Caenorhabditis elegans: one gene and its partners. The protein of the gene in region 1 interacts with the protein of each later gene in a pairwise test. Each region holds a gene or a part of one and is shown on either strand. Other genes may lie near its edges.

Region 1 (7,750 bases):
CCTCGAAATAGGCTCCACTTACGCAACAAATCGTTCTCTTATTTCGCTTCGATCGACCACCAGTATTTAAAAGATGGGTGGTCTAGATCTCACAGAAACCTGCACTATTTCAACAAGATAAACACGACGGAATGTTCGTTCACTCTCACACTTCAGCCGTTTTTTTCCTACGAGCGAAACAATCAGCGGGGCGGGTAGTGAGCGAGTTGAGACTGTCTAGACTCGATGTGGTGATCTCTTTGGAGTACAGAGAATGTTCAGAGTAAATACAGTCCATTCGGCAACATTTGAAAACAAGAATTTAGTCAAAATTTATCAGCAATTCCTTTAGAAAGTTGGTTCTCAAACCTAAAATTTTTTAACGACATTTATAAAGTGGAACTGGAAATATCTTTGGTTCGGGAAAATTTGAGAAATTTAAATTACTGAAACTTTAAAAGTCATATTGAAAATTGTTATCCATTGCAGGTCAATAATTTTTGACTGAAACTTCAAATCTTGGTAATTGAAAAACGGTTTGACTAAATAGTGAGTCACTAGAACTTTGACAGTTGGTAAGACAGTTTTCAACAAAACTATTACTTTTCAAAGTTTTTGGTAGCTTCTCTCGAAAACATTCCTAATATATTTTCAGGTCCAAATCAACCTTTACCAAAAATGTTTCCTCTGTAATTTTCTTGTCAATCCCACTTTGTTTCTACCGCTTCTTCTCCTTTCCATTTCGAGGACACAGTCGAGATCAAATGTGTGCGTTGAAACTGCCAATTTTCATTCTCTCTCTGCTAACTGAACACAAGACCTGAAGGTGCTCATTAGGCGAAATTGAGAAATATTGGATTACTGTAGGCTTAGATATGTAATCAATCTGAAACTGGTGACGCGGGTGTTCAGAAAAAAAATTGTGGTTGGGTTGGGGGGTTAAGATTCAAATGAAGAAATGAAAAAAGCTAGTAAAAGCTGAAAGAAAGTACTTAGCTTATGAATATTAATTAGGTCACATGGGAGCAGTTATGAATTTCCAGTCCTAATTTTTTCTACAGCCCGGTGCCGGGATCTTGGCCCTATGGACTGAAAAAAAGCTCAAGAATTGTATTTTTCCTCGAAAAAAAAATATAATTAAGCTTTCTATATAGGCTCCAAGGTTCCAACTTGTGGATCCATAATTCTAGACATAGTTTCAATTTCCTTTAAAGCAAGGTAGGTCACATTCCAGGAATGTTTAATAGTTTTCTAAAATACAGAAAAGTCTAGAAAAGCCTACCCAACGAATGATAATAAAAGTTCGAACAAAACCTATAAAAATTGAGTTACAGGAAATAAAATAAAAAACTAAAAGTTTGCAATTTTCTCTCGTCTCTTCTCTTTCCATGATCACACGTACTTACAGGTGTCCCCAAAAAACGCAGAGATCACACGATTCGCGGAGTGTCAGCCAGAGAAAAAATATGTCGTCGCGAGAACTGATAGCGGTGTCCCCCTCCACCGCCATAGTCTCGGGGCGCCGCTCCCTCCCGATATATGTTTGTCTGGCGTCTCTTACCAGGTTTTCTCACGTTCGGCGTTCTCTAATTATCGTCGTGTGAGGTCTTCTATCCAATCGCGGGTGGCATCAGTCGCCAAAAAAGAGGCGGCGCTTCGTCGCCGCGACTCTTTCTTGCTGGGACCCGCCCCGTTTCACAGGAGGGGAGTGCCTATTACTCCCTCTTTTCCTTTTCTTTTCGATATTTGAATGCTATCGGTGCTCTAGGAGCTCGATCTTGACCCCTTGTTGGAGGAAATTGTACTTTTGGGTAGGTGCTTCCAGTCGATTCAGAATAATTTTTTGGGGTTTTTGAAAACAGTAAAATTATGTGAAAATGTTTCCATCTTTGCGTCTACAATTTGTGGCTGACTTTCCTAACAGTCTACTCTTTGAAATTTTTGAGAAAATGGCTTAACAAAAACTTGAACATTTGATCTGATGTACATTGTAGAAATACTGTAGCTCCTGACTTGTCTGTTTGTCTTGGTTTTAGTCTCTACAAAAAATTATTTCTTGATAAAAACCTCTAATTGATTAAAAATTGAACCTTTTGTAACACGATCAAATGTTGCCAGTTGCAATTAATCGATTTTTGTGATTTTATAAAGTTTGCAGTTAGGTTTGAAAAACTTCAAACGTATTTTATTTAGAAATTTATTTGCTCTTTTTTTCCTTCAAGTCAAATAAGCAATACGGTTCTGTAAATTAATAAAACTTTGTTGCCATTAAATATTGAAATTCCATGTATATCCGTTCTGAAAAATTCTTTATAAGAAAAAATTTCAAACTGGTTTTTAACATTTTTAACTATTGCAGGTTTAAAAACATACAGTAGCCCAACTTTATTCCACATTTAAAGTCACAGAATGAGCCCAACGTTGAATTGAACATTTAGATTATAAAAACGTATTTTATATATGTTTGAGCTATCTGTAATTTTTGAAGAAAAAAAAACTGGTTTCAAAGCTCTCTAAATTTTCTGTTTTAAATTCTCAAAATTCTTAACATTATAGGAAAAGAAAATTTTTTTACTTTACTTTGAAAATTTTTTTAATCCGAAAGATATACACTGGAAACTAGAAAAGATACAGTATTACAAAAAAAATTCGCATTACCAGCTGCTCCTTTAAAAAATTGAAAATTTGTTCCGATGCAAAGAACAATATTTTTGGCGAAAAAATGTTCTTTCTCACAAAAATCAGTCTTGAAAATTTGACTTTTCCACGACATTTTCAAAATTTCGTAATTATTTTATAAGTCAAGATTAGAGTATAGCAGTTTCATATAATGCTTATAGATCCCTCTTTTTAATTCCCTAATTAAAAATAAAAATTTCAACAAAAACAACTAAATTCATAATCTGAAAAAATTTTGCAGAGGAGCTCTAATGCTCACCGAGGATCCCGTATCGGAGATTTGTGAGGCGAAAGCAGTCGATGAGCTCGCCGAGCAAGAAAAAAATTATTATTGTCAGAGATGTTTAAATCATGGGGAGTTGAAGCCAAGGAAAGGTCACAAGCCGGATTGTAGGTGAGCAATGGTTTTTTTTGCATTTTTAAACTACATTTCATCTGAAAACTATTTTGTCATTCCATGTTTCTCCCTCATTCACCCTTAATTATATACATCACGTTTTAATGCTTAAACTCTTGAATTTTTTGATAATTTTGGGTCTTGCAACGATAAAAAGTTAACAACTGTTTAATGAACTTTTTGTAACTTTTGTTGTGCCGAAAAAGTATGTAGTTTATCCATAAATACTCCAAATTCCAAATTTTATCTCAAAATTGTCGCGTCACCGACCTTATTCACCCACCATCAGTTTTTTTTTTCGCGAAGCCCTCCGACAAAGACACCCGTAAAATTTGAGATGTTCGTCTACCGATTACGATCGGGCAAGAAAAGACGCAAAGCAAGAAAAAACAGCTGACCTTGTCGATTTAAAGCGAAAAATACCACCCATACAGGTGAAATTGTTATTATATGAGTGAGGGGGGTCAAAAACGAATTATTATATGGACGCGAAAAACGGAGGAGAAGAATGGGAAAATGCAAAGAGGCAAAAAGTTATGTTTTATACATTAACCTAAACCATTTTGAAGGTGGTCTAGGGATACTGTAGATGTTTCACCAAGGTGAAAGATGACTCAAAAAGATCTTGCAATGACGACAATTATCACTAAGCTAAATTGAAGATGGATTAGCGAAATCTGGGAAACATTTTAAAATGACTACAAGAGTTTTTTGAATACCTATGTGAAATTTTTTTAATTCCCTGATTTCGCTACTACACATTTAATAATATGTATATCAAGGTGTGTTACTCTTTTTAGGTTTTTTTAAACGCTCGTTTAAAGAATTTGTACTTCTCTGGTTTAAATATCCAAAACTCGCCCGAAACGACCGAATTTCATTATTAGGCTTTACAAAAATAATATCTATCCGGTTAAAAATTAAAAAAAAAACTAGTGAAATTCTGCCAGCTTCTTCTTCGGTCGATCATTTTTTCCAATGTTTAGATAAATTCAAAAAAGCGCTTCTTTTTTTTCGAGATATGTTTGGGAAGTTACATCATGAATTTTGGTTGTTTGGGATCAGTTTGAGACAATTCAAGCAACTAAAAATTTTTCAGCCTTTTTTATTATTTTTTTTGGAACCGAAAATTATTAAAAAATTATGTTTGCTTTTCATTCAAAAATCTTCATTCATTTTTTGACATCCAATCACACAGATACACTCACTTTTCAAACAAACCATTCCACAATGACCTATACAGTCGTAAAATTCCTCACCCAATTTTTTTTTTCTCCCAATTTTTTCAGTTCATATAATTTTTAACAAAAGATAGGGCCTATCTCTATTGTGAAAAGTCTAATAAAATATTTGAATGGGTGGGCGGGTTACTGTACAACTACAAAATTCTCCCGTCGATGACACCAAGTGGCACTGAAAAATAAACAAGACGAACATTTTACAGATATCTAAAATGTCCATGTCGAGAATGCACGATGGTCGAGCAGCGAAGACAGTTGAACAATTTGCTAAGCAAAAAGAAGGTGAGTATTCTATAGGGATTCTATGGTAGGTGTGGCTGTAGGTGGCTGTGCCTTACCTCATTCCTGTCTGCCTACATTTCTGTTTCGCGGTGTAGGCGGTCTTGAAGGTTGTATGTGCGTTCTCACGCACTTAAATACCACATCTTATCAGTTCACCAAAAAATCGCAACTTCAGATCAAATCTGACATTTTCAAAATGAAAAGTGGGTTGACGTCTTGGCTTTTTTCTCTTTTTGTAAGAAAAACAATTGAAGATACGAATAGATAGAGTGTGAAAAGCAAAGAAAAAGTGAGAAAAAGATTGATTTTATCGGATTTTTTTAAGGGTAGGTATATTTTTCATGAAGTTGTTCTTTTTCAAAAGGGGCTCTTGTTGTGGCAAGTCACATATAGGTCATTGCCTGGCCATCTATAGGCGTACCTACCTTATTGTTTTATTTCAGTTATTTGTTGAAAGTGTATTTTTAAATGAGAAAAATGCTCACTTTGGACCATGGGTATGCGTGTAGGTATGAGGCAATTGTAGGCTGCATTGACTGCAAGCATTCTTGAGCCTACTGAAAGTTTATACCGAATTTCTTGGTTATTGTTTTTGTGATTGCATTAACTCCTATAATATTACTGTGAAAATAAAACACTTTTTAGCGGGACCCCTTATAAACCTTTCCAAATTTCCAGATCCACTGCACACCGGCAACTCAAACCCGTGATGGGAAGCGTGTCCGTGACCCACACTGTGCTCGGTGCTCGGCTCACGGAGTCCTAGTCCCATTGCGGGGACACAAGCGGACAATGTGCCAATTTGTGACATGCGAGTGTACATTGGTAAGTGTAATTATACTGTCATCATCGGCAGTCAGGCGCCCTTGACAACATTGCAGTTTTTATGCTTTTCAATGTCACCTGCGCGAAGAAATTATAGGATTATAAAAGTACTGTAGGGAAATGGGGGAGTGGCTTGCCAATGAGATTTGAGAATGTGACTTTTTGAAACATTTTGATAAGTTTCAACTATTTCGAAGTATTTTTAATGCAACAGTGCTACGAATTGACTTTTTAAAAATTGTTGTGGAGCAGGCAACTTGGAGCATGCTCTTGGACTGACAGAGAAAGTTGCCACATTAATTTGTGTGAGATTTTTGAAAACGCGTAAACAGAACTACGATTTTCGAGTTTAAAAATATTATTTTTCAGTGTACTCTTGTGGAACACCGTCGAAATCTTATGGCGGCTCAAATCAAATTACGCAGATCACAACAGAAATCCCGAGATGGTAAAGAACCAAAAAGGAACTCTCGTAGAAAATCGAAAGATATGGATATGGAGATGATGGTTGTCACAGCTACAGATGGTCAAAAGATAATTGGTAAGCTATGGGATTTTGTAGAAGTGTGTAAATTGAGCTTTAAGTCAGAATCACAAAAATTGGAGTCTAAACCTGAAATCCAGTCGGAAGTAATTCTAGAGTTGACGGTACGTATTAACGTTATCAGAAACATAGATTTTACCATCAACTCATAGATTATATAAAATGGCTACTTGTTATTTCCAATTTTTCGTACCGAAACAATCAAATACGGGAATATCCAAACGCATCAATAAACAATTACGAAAGTTAAGAGGTTAATTTCAAATATGTCTAGAATCTCAAATTGGTACAACTTCTCAGTTATAGAATATGTCTTTCTGCTTACCTATCAGGCGGGCCCTGCCCTGAAAGTTACTTTGCCTTAAAGATAATTACCACTTAAGCCAATGTATTTTCAAAATTCAGGGGAAGACAAAAAAGTGGTAATTTTGATGCAAATATCAACGCAGACAGTTAAAATTTATATTGTAGCTTCAAAGAAATTAAATCTATAATATTCCAGGAACATCAGCAAGTCCATCTCCATCCTCAACCACTGATACAATGTCCCCATCCCTTTCAATGTCTCCACCATGCTCTCCATCTCCACTTCTGGCTCAATACACTCTGACGCTGGCTGCTCCGATTCCAATCTATCCGCCGATCCCAATGAATCAACAATTGATAAGCTTGCAACAACAACAGTTCCTGATGAGCATTATTCAAAATATGGCTCCATCAATCGGACAACAGGCTCCACTCCTTCCAGGCATTTCTGCAGGTTCTGTCTCATCGGCAGCAATTTTGAATGAGTTCTGGAGTATGTATCTGAAAAATTATGGTCTGCAAGCCTAAGATCTATAATTTTGACCAATTATTGATTTTTAGAAAAATTGTATGTTTCCCTTCTTTGCTTAATTTTCCACACAATCTCTTTTTATCTTTGGTTTCAAACTCAATGATTTTTTCATATTTTCTTGAATTTTCACTTTTTACCAATTTTGTTATATTTTCTAATTTTTTCATTCATTTTTCACCAAGTGAACCAACCAATTTACCGATTTTTTTCTCGTCTTCAAGACCGCTTGTGTTATTCCAAAAATCCCCATTTTTTTTAAATTCAAATAATCTTTTCGTCTCTCACCAAACCACATACTATCTTTCTATGTCTCTTCGCCACCTAATCATGTCATCAATTTCTTCGAAAATTCCCAAATTTCACCGATATTCTTCCGTTTGCATCGATTTCCCACTGTCCCCGCCCAAATTGAGCTGAGCTCCGCCCACACTTTCCCAGGATTACTGTATTGTTTCTCGCTCTGCGTCTCTCATTCTCGTTCCCTCTCTCTTTGTTTTATCTCGGAAAATAGGATCAAATCCTAAACAGTTAACCGGTCCGTTTTAGACACCCCCGGTGGTAATAATTTTGAAAAAAAGTGAAATCATGTTTTTTAATGTTTTGGTTTTAAAAAACCAAACATTTTTTGGAGAGAAAAATGTATAGAACTTCCAAACATACAAACACACGACGCATCGAGTCTAATAATTATTGATTTATTTTTATTATTTTTGATTTTTCAATAAACTTTTCATTTTTAAATCGTCTTGGTTCTGTATGCAAACTTGATCGTACAGCAATTTCCAGAAAAAAAGTTGGCGGCCGAGCTTTCTCTTCCGCGGCCATGTAGAAACCCATAGACAAGGTCTTAGCACGAATGAAACTTTTCCGTTACCGTACCATAGGGTATTTCCCAATTTCTCCTGTTTCAGAAAACATATTTTTTTTAAATTTAAACTTTCGTTGCTTCTGAGTTTTTAAAAAGT
Region 2 (3,996 bases), on another chromosome or scaffold:
CAAAGATTACGGTAGAGCGTCTAGACGGTGGCAAAAAAACAAAACTTGTCGATCAGAAATGAGCATTTCCCAAATGAGCATAAACTAGTATAAAACAACTAGTTCCTACATGTTTTAGTATAGTTTTTTTAAACATTTTTTTTACTGGAAAAAATGTTTTTTTTGTGCAGCCGACAGTGATCGAGGACGGTACAGAATTTTTTTTTAACCTTGCGTGTAAAATTTGGTGCATTGGAGTCGGTGAACGAGGCTTTCGGGCTTGCTTGCCAGGCTCCTTTTCAAATTTAGATCGAATTTCATTGTTTAGAAAAAACATTTTAAAAAATTATTCCATTATTTAGAAAAAGAAAAAAAATCATTCAAAACAAAAAAAGCATGATAAAGGCAATCACAGAAATGGATTTAAATCGCCTAATAATTCAAACACAAGGGCTAAGCAATGCGAGAAAAAGATTAGCAATCGTCAAAATCCGCTACAGATTTTCTTATATTTTCCACACAAAATTTGAAACCACTCTGAGCGATTGATTTTCGACACAATTTGTCATCCGATTTGTTGAAACTTCTGAAAATCTTTTTAGTTTTAGTGTTTTTTTGTGGTTGTTATGAAACATTTTGCAATGATTTTCAGCTTGCTCAACTTTGAATTTTCCAAGGTTTCGTAGGCGTAGACCATAGGCGTAGGCCATTAGCCATAAGTGTAGGTCATAGGCGTAGGCAGTAGGCGTGGGTCATAGGCGTAGGCAGTAGGCGTAGGCCATAGGCGTTGGCCATAGGTGGAGGTCATAGGCATATGTCATAGGCGTCGGCCAGCAAGTTTTTCAAGTTTTAAAAAATTCGAGTGTTTTCAAAACGAGATGAGCACCACCTTTTTGTGAACAAAATGAAATAAATCGGCTTTTAGTCCAACTGCTCAGTTGCTCCATACTGATCCGCGTAAAACCCCGACCGGATTGCCCCTCCTTATCTACGCAAACTGCGAATCTACGTAATTTCCCCCATCGACATGAGAATTCCGTCATAGCTCCGCAGAGCCAAAATAGAATGTTTACGGCGAATTTTCTCGAATGAGTGGGGAGGGATGGCGGAGACGTTAGACATGGTTAGACAGCAATCAGGGATATTCAAGAAAGAGGCGGAGCCGGCAGATACAGAAAATCTTTCATTCCTGGATTGAAGATGGGAAAGGCGGATGAAATTTTATTTATTTATTTCGATTCCATTTCATTTGTGAATTCATTTCGATAGCTTTTTTGCTCCAAGGGGAGCTAGGTTACTGTAGATAAGGGAAATTTTTGGTGGCCGAAGAAAACTAGAAAAACTTCGGTCACGCGCCCAAGCCTCTACAACTTCCTGTTTTGCTTATGCTTTCCCTGAAAATTTCTCTGAAAGCATCGTCTATATAGCCCCCAGGGCCTTATCAGGCGACTAGTAAAACATGTCACAAGATTTTTTTTCAGACAAGTGACTGAAAGTACTGTAAATATTCCATTGACGCAGTGTCTATAAAATTTCAGCCAATCAGGTCATCAAGCTCAAGCATCCCTTATCTTGTAGCCCTCACAATTTCATTTTGTGCTTCAACTTTTCCAACTCTTGAAAAATGGAAAATTTCAGACTTACCTGATCATGTCCTCATCTTCCCTGTCATCTTCTTCAAATGCCTCATCGCTCAGTGCTCCAGAAGGGCTTTCACCAAACAACAGCCTCTCCCCGGATGTTGGAGCACAGAGATTTTTCAGCCAAGGGAAAAGGATCCCGAAAGGTGAGCTATAGCTTCTTAGCAGCCGACAGTTAATTGGTTTCACGAGAAAGGGTCAGTAGAAAAATGTATGGTTGGTTAACTGTCGGCTGCTGATTTTTTTTCAGAAATTAGTATGGCCTACGCCTAACATAGTTTTATTTTTTGTTAAATTTTCAGATGTGAAACGGCACTGTGGAATGTGCAAGCAGCATGGAGTTTTCGTAGAGACGCGCGGGCACACCTGCGAATATAGAAGTTGCGAGTGTGAGCAGTGTGACTTGGTCCGTAAGCGACGGGAGATCATGTCAACTCAGATTCGTCTCCGACGAGAGCAAGACAAGAAGTTCCAGGTACCTTGTGATTTTTTTCCTAATTTTCCTAACTATCCCCGTGTTTCAGCGTACCAATGATATCAGCGAGGCCAACGTGTTCCCAGGCTTCACAGGTGGGGAGGCAGATGAAAAAGCTGTCATGGAGAACATGAACATGTGCTATTTCTGCCAAAAATGCAAGAATCACAATGTGCTCGTCTGGAAGAAAAATCACAAAAAGGAGTGCCAATATTCCAGCTGCGAATGCCAACAGTGTAACTTGATTGATTCCCGTCGTGCCCTGGACCGGCATATTAAGAAGCGAAAAATGAGCATAAAGGGCAACACGGTTGAAGCTATCGCACCGAAAAGTCCCAAAAAAGAGGGCTCCACCACGGCTTCATCATCGTCACTCTCATCTTCTTCGGGCTGCAATTCGGACGAGTCGGCTTCATCCTCGGATTGCTCGCTATCTGGAATGCTATCAGAGAAGTTGAACATGGCTCCGCAGGTTCAGATGAAATTCGACTTCAGTGCCGGGGGATTTATGATTCCTGCAGCGACTTCGGCAAATGCAAGCACTAGTCCGGCTGGTTCTCCATTTGAGGTGAGGTTCAGATTTTCTGAAAATTTTTTCAGGTACAGCTTGAACCTGAAAAGGCATGTGGGCATGTAGGCATGTAGGCATGTAGGCATGTATGTATGTAAACCTGTAGGCATGTAGGCATGTAGGCATGTAGGCATGTAGGCATGTAGGCATGTAGGCATGTAGGCATGTAGGTATGTAGGCATGTAGGCATGCACTAGTCTCGTCCTAAAAACTGCTCTAAAAGGTTTTTTCCAGAATTTCTAAAATTTCTAAATTAAATTTTTTTCAGACAACATCTCCAATGCCGCTTCTCCTTCCGCATTCACCAATTGCTCTTCCACAACTTGCTCCATCAAGCCTACCGCTTTCATTTCTTACCGTACCCTCTCTCATGTCCACCGCGGCCTCACCATTTTTCACGGCTCCGCTTATGTACGGAGCTGCTCCAACTCTTTTCCCGAATCCTCTCCTGATGACCCCTATCGGAATGCAAATGTTGTTCCAGAACTTTCAAAATTTTCAGAATATCCGTGAGCTTAGCGCTGCAATTAGCTGCGCTGAAACCGATTGATTTTTCTTTTTAATTTTTCAAAAAAAAAAACAATTTCCAATCTGTGATTTATTGTCTTTTCCCTGTAAAACTCTAGTTCCTTCCCAGTTGCACCTCAAAAAGAGTAAAAACCCCATCGAAATTTTAAGCTGTGCGGGTTTTCAGTTCAAACATGATGATAATAATATTTTGATGTTTTTGTGTTTTATATTTCCAAAAACTTTTTTTTGATTCTGCAAAAGTGATAAATTAATAAAATTGTACTCTTATCAATTTATGACTCGACTAGAAATTGAATTATAAAGTCACGGTTTTTACAGAGAATTTTCCGAATTTTCAGCCACCATATCTGGAATTAAGCTTGGATTTAGAAATTTCACGGCCTTTTTTGCATAAAACGTCAGGAAGCAATCCCATATATTAAAAAAAAACTAAATGTTAAAATTCAAATATATATTTTGTAGAATTTTTTGTAATTTTTTTTCAAATTTTGCTATTCCAAAAATAAGCTTTCCGGCTAAATTGAGCAGTTTCACTTTTTTTGATTTTTTATTTGAGACGTGATCTGTCAAATTTGCATGCATTTTACAGCAAAAAAATTAATGTTAAGTTCAGGCCAGTTTTAGAGTTTCACCCAATTCCTTTCGGCCTGTCAAGTTTCCTTTAATGACAATGGTTGAAAATTTGAAAAAAATGGCCGAAAAATTCATTTACCAGTGAAATCTCACAATCAGATTTTTTTCAATTTTTGAAAAATTTAAAATAAATCTTTAAAAAATTAGAAATTTTGTTTCGGTTAACA
Region 3 (4,428 bases), on another chromosome or scaffold:
TCTATGTAAAAATATCTAACAATATCCAGAACATGCTAGTGAAACTATTTACTCTCAATTAAAAAAACAAAAACTAACCAAACTAGGTGGTTCTTCACAATGTTTATCAGTCCATTTACCATTGACATGCCTTCGAACATTGTGTCGTTTTGCTGTCGTGCCTATCACTACTCCAAGAATTAAAATGAAAGCTGTACGGAAGCAAATCATGTCGCAATCGACAGAAGAATCAAATAAAAGATATAGGCGAGAAATGACTGTGTCTCTCTGTGTGACCCTTTACCCGATGATGACCTAGTGACATCCACATAAAGTGAAAATTTGGGAGGAGTCGAGGATTCATAAAAATTGAAAGTTTTAGGAAAAGTTCATATTCAGAGTACTTTGTATTATTTTGGATTGTTTTATTTTTAATGGAATCGGGTTGATATAGAATGTTTCAAAATCATCCATTCGATTTTAAAATGAAATTTTGAACTTGATCCTTCTATCTATTTAGTTTCCCCTGCCATTAAACAATAAAAAATAGTTTAATAAAAAATAATTTATAAGGAAAAGATATGCTGATATAACTTTTTTATTTGATACTGATGAGATTCTTTGACTGGAGATTTTCAATTGATTTTGCAATGAGAAGCGCGTTGTCCTTCTGATACCCTCCACTGGTTACCATGCAAATTGGAATTCCTTTTGATTTTGCTAGATTGAACACAACTTCGTCTCGAGCAATTATGCACTGAAAATTTGATTTTCAAAAAAATATGCAACATCTTATTTCAAAATAGACTATACACCAAATACCAAACTCGTATAACAATATTCCTTGCTTTCACACACCTGTGGACTCAATTTCATTGCTCCCAGAGGATCACCAAGTAGACAGTCTGTGCCAGCGTTGAACATAATGAAATCGAAACCAGGAGGAGTAGTTTTCTCTCTATCAATTAAACACTGTGCCAGTTGTTTGCGTAATTCGCTAAATAAAGTCGGTCAGTGAAAGCAGAAAGCCGCTATGAATACTTACGAGAGGTAGGAAGTATCAGTCGTATGACCATTTACATGAACCGCTCTGTTAATAAATTGACGAGCTTCACGATCATGTGGATAGACATATGGATTGAAAACATCAAATACAAACACATTCGGATTGTCAGCAAAGTCTCGTGCATGGCCATTTCCCTTAAAGTATGATTCAAGCAAAAAATTGGATTCTTAAATTTTAATAATTTTTTTAAACAATTAATATTGTGATTAATATTTCGAATTAATATCTAATATTTGAGAAATATCTTTACGGGCTAGACATATTTCATTCACGTTCCAAATGGTTTTCCAAAATGATACCGTAGTCTATAGAATTCTTAACGTAACTGTAAGGTAGCTAAAATTTGAGGACAATTCTAACTTTGAAAGCTCAGATATCGGCCATCTATGATTTTAGGCAAAATACTTCCTTCATGTGATGTCAGACTGTCTCATTGCGGTTTGATCTACAAAACATGCGGGACTTTTTCCCAGAAAAATTGTGACGTCAGCACGTTCTTAACCATTCCAAATCAAATGAGATGTCTGCGTCTCAACTCCCGCATTTTTCGAAGATCAAAGCGGAATGGGATTTTCTGACTACACGTGTTCCTTTGAGTTATATGCTGTCAAAGTTGAGCAGTGAAGGTGCCGCACGCATCAATAGAAAATATACGGTATTTTATATTCTTTCAAATGTTTTTTCCAGTACCTGATGAGCATCTAAATCTACAACAATCGCGTTGGCAATTGCCTTTTTGTCAAACAAATCGAAAATTGCCATGGTGATATCAGCGTAAAAACAGAATCCACCTCCGCCCGAATCTGAAATTATAGGCTGCTGTACAATCCCATAGCGTCTATTTTTCTTGCGGAATAACAAAAACATACGAGAAGCATGATGGAAACCACCACCCACGTTGATCGCCCAACCATGTTTTAGAGCCAAATTGGCAGCTAAAACTGTTCCACCGGCTTGTAAACTGGAAAACACAAATAAATGAATACAACAATTACTAGGAATGATACCGTAGTGGATGCAATAACTTGCTTTCAATAATGCACGGTGGAAGGCAACCGACAAATGGAATCTCGACGATTTGTGCTGCTTTAATAGGATTTCGAACACTTTTCAGATATCTAAAATAATATGAATAAATTTTTTTTATTAGTTGAAATTGTTGAACGCCTCATCTAACTTTTTTTTAGAATGTCAACTATAAACGTTATGAGCTTAATTATTTTCTTTCAATTTAAGTATGGGGCCATACAAACATGATTTTTTCATAAACCAATTCCACGATTCAATCACATTCACAACACTTTCATGTGCCTACTTTCTATCATGTACTCTAGTGAGTTCTTCAAATGTCGGTAGATTTGGCTCAACGAGTGTTTCATCAGTGATCAGATTCATTTCTTTCAAATGTGTAATGACTCTTCTCCATTTCGAAGAATCAAATGGATGTAAATGTTCGATTCCAAATGCAGTTACATTATATTCAGAATGATAGACAATTGGACGTTGATAACTTTTTAAACTAAAGATTTCATCTTTATCTCTGAAATTATTGATATTTTTGGCATTTCCAACTGCATGTTGTACTACAGATTAAATTTCAAAACTCACCGCTCTGCCATTCAAAATCTGCGTAGAATGAGTGGTTAGAGCGGATAAATAAAGAAGTAGTCGTAAAGATTCTGTTTTTCTTGTTTTTGTTATCAGAAAACAGATAACGAATTCTGAAAATAGTGGAAACTGCCAAAAGATGCCAATTGTGGCGAGAGAGCCTGTGGGATGTAGAGTAGGATGAGAAAGGATGGCCTAACTTTTTTATCGGCCATCCGCCGTGTACTTCACCAGGACAAGATGTTTCGTCTTTCAGAAACTCAAATCATCACCAAAGTTTGCAGTTTTTCGAAACAATTAACGGTGGGAAGACGCCGAATTAATTTTATCCGTTTTAAACATTCTTTTTGCTTTTCAAAACATTTTTCTCCTCTTTCTCAAGCTATAATTACTTCTGAATTGGATATTTTAGGAGTGAATCGCTGAACAGCGGATTCGAAGTCTTCAAAAATGGATGAATTACCGGTTAGCATTTTCAAAATTCTTAATGTGCATTCTAATCTTATTTTAGGTACTAAACAGTCTATGCAAAGATCTATATGAGAGTGTCGATCCGCAAGCCCGACACCGAGCCGAGAGTAACCTTGCGGAACTGTCAGAGTCACCCGAATGCCTTCAAAGATGCATGCTTCTCTTTGCACGAGGAGATGTAAGTCGAAATAATAAAAGTGTTAAACAATTTACATAATGATTTTCAGTACCCATACGGACCAATGGTAGCAAGCACCACACTAATGAAACTTCTCGGCGGAAAAACTAGCATCACTTCTGTTCAGAAGCTCGAGCTTGCAAAATATTTATTGGAAATGCTAGGTCAAGGTGCACCTCAATTTCCTCCATATCTCGTCACATCACTTTGCCAACTTTTTGCAAGACTCACGAAACAAGAATGGACGTATCAAAATCCCACAGAAAATCAAACAGAAGACACAAAAATTGAATATCCATTTCGTGATCCGGTTGATAGCCTTGTCAAAACAATCAACATGGATAATATCGAGGAAAGTATGCTGGCCGTGCAACTGTTAACCTTACTCGTTGCTGACATGAATTCAGCTTCGGGAATGGATTCAGTTAACAAACATCGCAAGAATCTTTCGCAGTTCAGGGACGATTTTTTATATGAGATTTTCTCGGTATCTCTGAATGTTTTGAACGATAATGTGGACAGAAATCTGAACGATCGCCAATTGGGTCTTCTTCACGCGGTTCTCAACTTGAATCTCCAATGTCTACTTTTTGATTATATAGGAAGTTTGACAGACGAAACAAGTGAAGACAACTGTAATGTGCAAATCCCAACAGCATGGAGAGCAAGTTTTACTGATGGAAAAATTGTACAGCTTATGTTCAAACTTTTAAATGTGCTTCCACAAGAATCAAGTGAAAAAGTGATGACAATAATAGCTCAATTGGCAAGTATTCGAAGAACGCTTTTCAATGGAACAGAGCGACAGGCTTACGTTCAAAAACTTGTTGAAGGAGTTGTCAGTGTAATTATGAACCCTGGGAAGCTTAGTGACCAGGTAAGAATAATGAAAAATTAAAGGCAAACATATTTATATACCTGATTTAGGCCGCATTCCACGAGTTTTGCCGTTTGATTGCTCGTCTGAAAACAAATTATCAGCTGTGCGAGCTCATCGCTGTTCCCTGCTACAGTCACATGCTAAGGTTACTCGCGGAATTCACTGTACAAAGCCTACGAATGATGGAGTTCTCAGCCAACAGTACATATTTTCTTATGACATTCTGGCAGAGAATGGTGACGTCTG

Evidence for each region. The genes of interacting proteins can lie anywhere in the genome.
Region 2: the proteins of mab-3 (region 1) and dmd-8 interact in a two-hybrid assay, tested with the Caenorhabditis elegans proteins (one large-scale study listed by BioGRID).
Region 3: the proteins of mab-3 (region 1) and hda-11 interact in a two-hybrid assay, tested with the Caenorhabditis elegans proteins (one large-scale study listed by BioGRID).

What each region holds. Positions count from the first base shown.
Region 1 is NC_003280.10:9,730,513-9,738,262, forward strand, and holds mab-3 (Protein male abnormal 3), read left to right. Parts: upstream 1-1,718; 5' UTR 1,719-1,790; intron 1,791-2,899; 5' UTR 2,900-2,909; coding exon 2,910-3,052; intron 3,053-4,498; exon of another isoform or gene 4,499-4,499; coding exon 4,500-4,578; intron 4,579-5,256; coding exon 5,257-5,403; intron 5,404-5,772; coding exon 5,773-5,944; intron 5,945-6,449; coding exon 6,450-6,781; 3' UTR 6,782-7,523; downstream 7,524-7,750. UniProt on the Caenorhabditis elegans protein: Transcription factor which binds the DNA motif 5'-[CGA][TCA][TA]ACAATGT[AT][TGA]C-3', probably as a monomer.
Region 2 is NC_003283.11:334,072-338,067, reverse strand, and holds dmd-8 (DM domain-containing protein), read left to right. Parts: upstream 1-1,617; 5' UTR 1,618-1,629; coding exon 1,630-1,765; intron 1,766-1,921; coding exon 1,922-2,094; intron 2,095-2,143; coding exon 2,144-2,662; intron 2,663-2,933; coding exon 2,934-3,215; 3' UTR 3,216-3,467; downstream 3,468-3,996.
Region 3 is NC_003283.11:10,524,546-10,528,973, reverse strand, and holds hda-11 (Histone deacetylase 11), read right to left. Parts: upstream 2,791-4,428; 5' UTR 2,665-2,790; coding exon 2,654-2,664; intron 2,586-2,653; coding exon 2,361-2,585; intron 2,164-2,360; coding exon 2,053-2,163; intron 2,007-2,052; coding exon 1,915-2,006; intron 1,849-1,914; coding exon 1,736-1,848; intron 1,180-1,735; coding exon 1,025-1,179; intron 977-1,024; coding exon 838-976; intron 737-837; coding exon 578-736; 3' UTR 530-577; downstream 1-529. Other genes in the region: F25D1.3 (Interleukin-17), read right to left, coding at 79-210; xpo-7 (Exportin-7), read left to right, coding at 3,104-3,118, 3,165-3,302, 3,352-4,179, 4,230-4,428.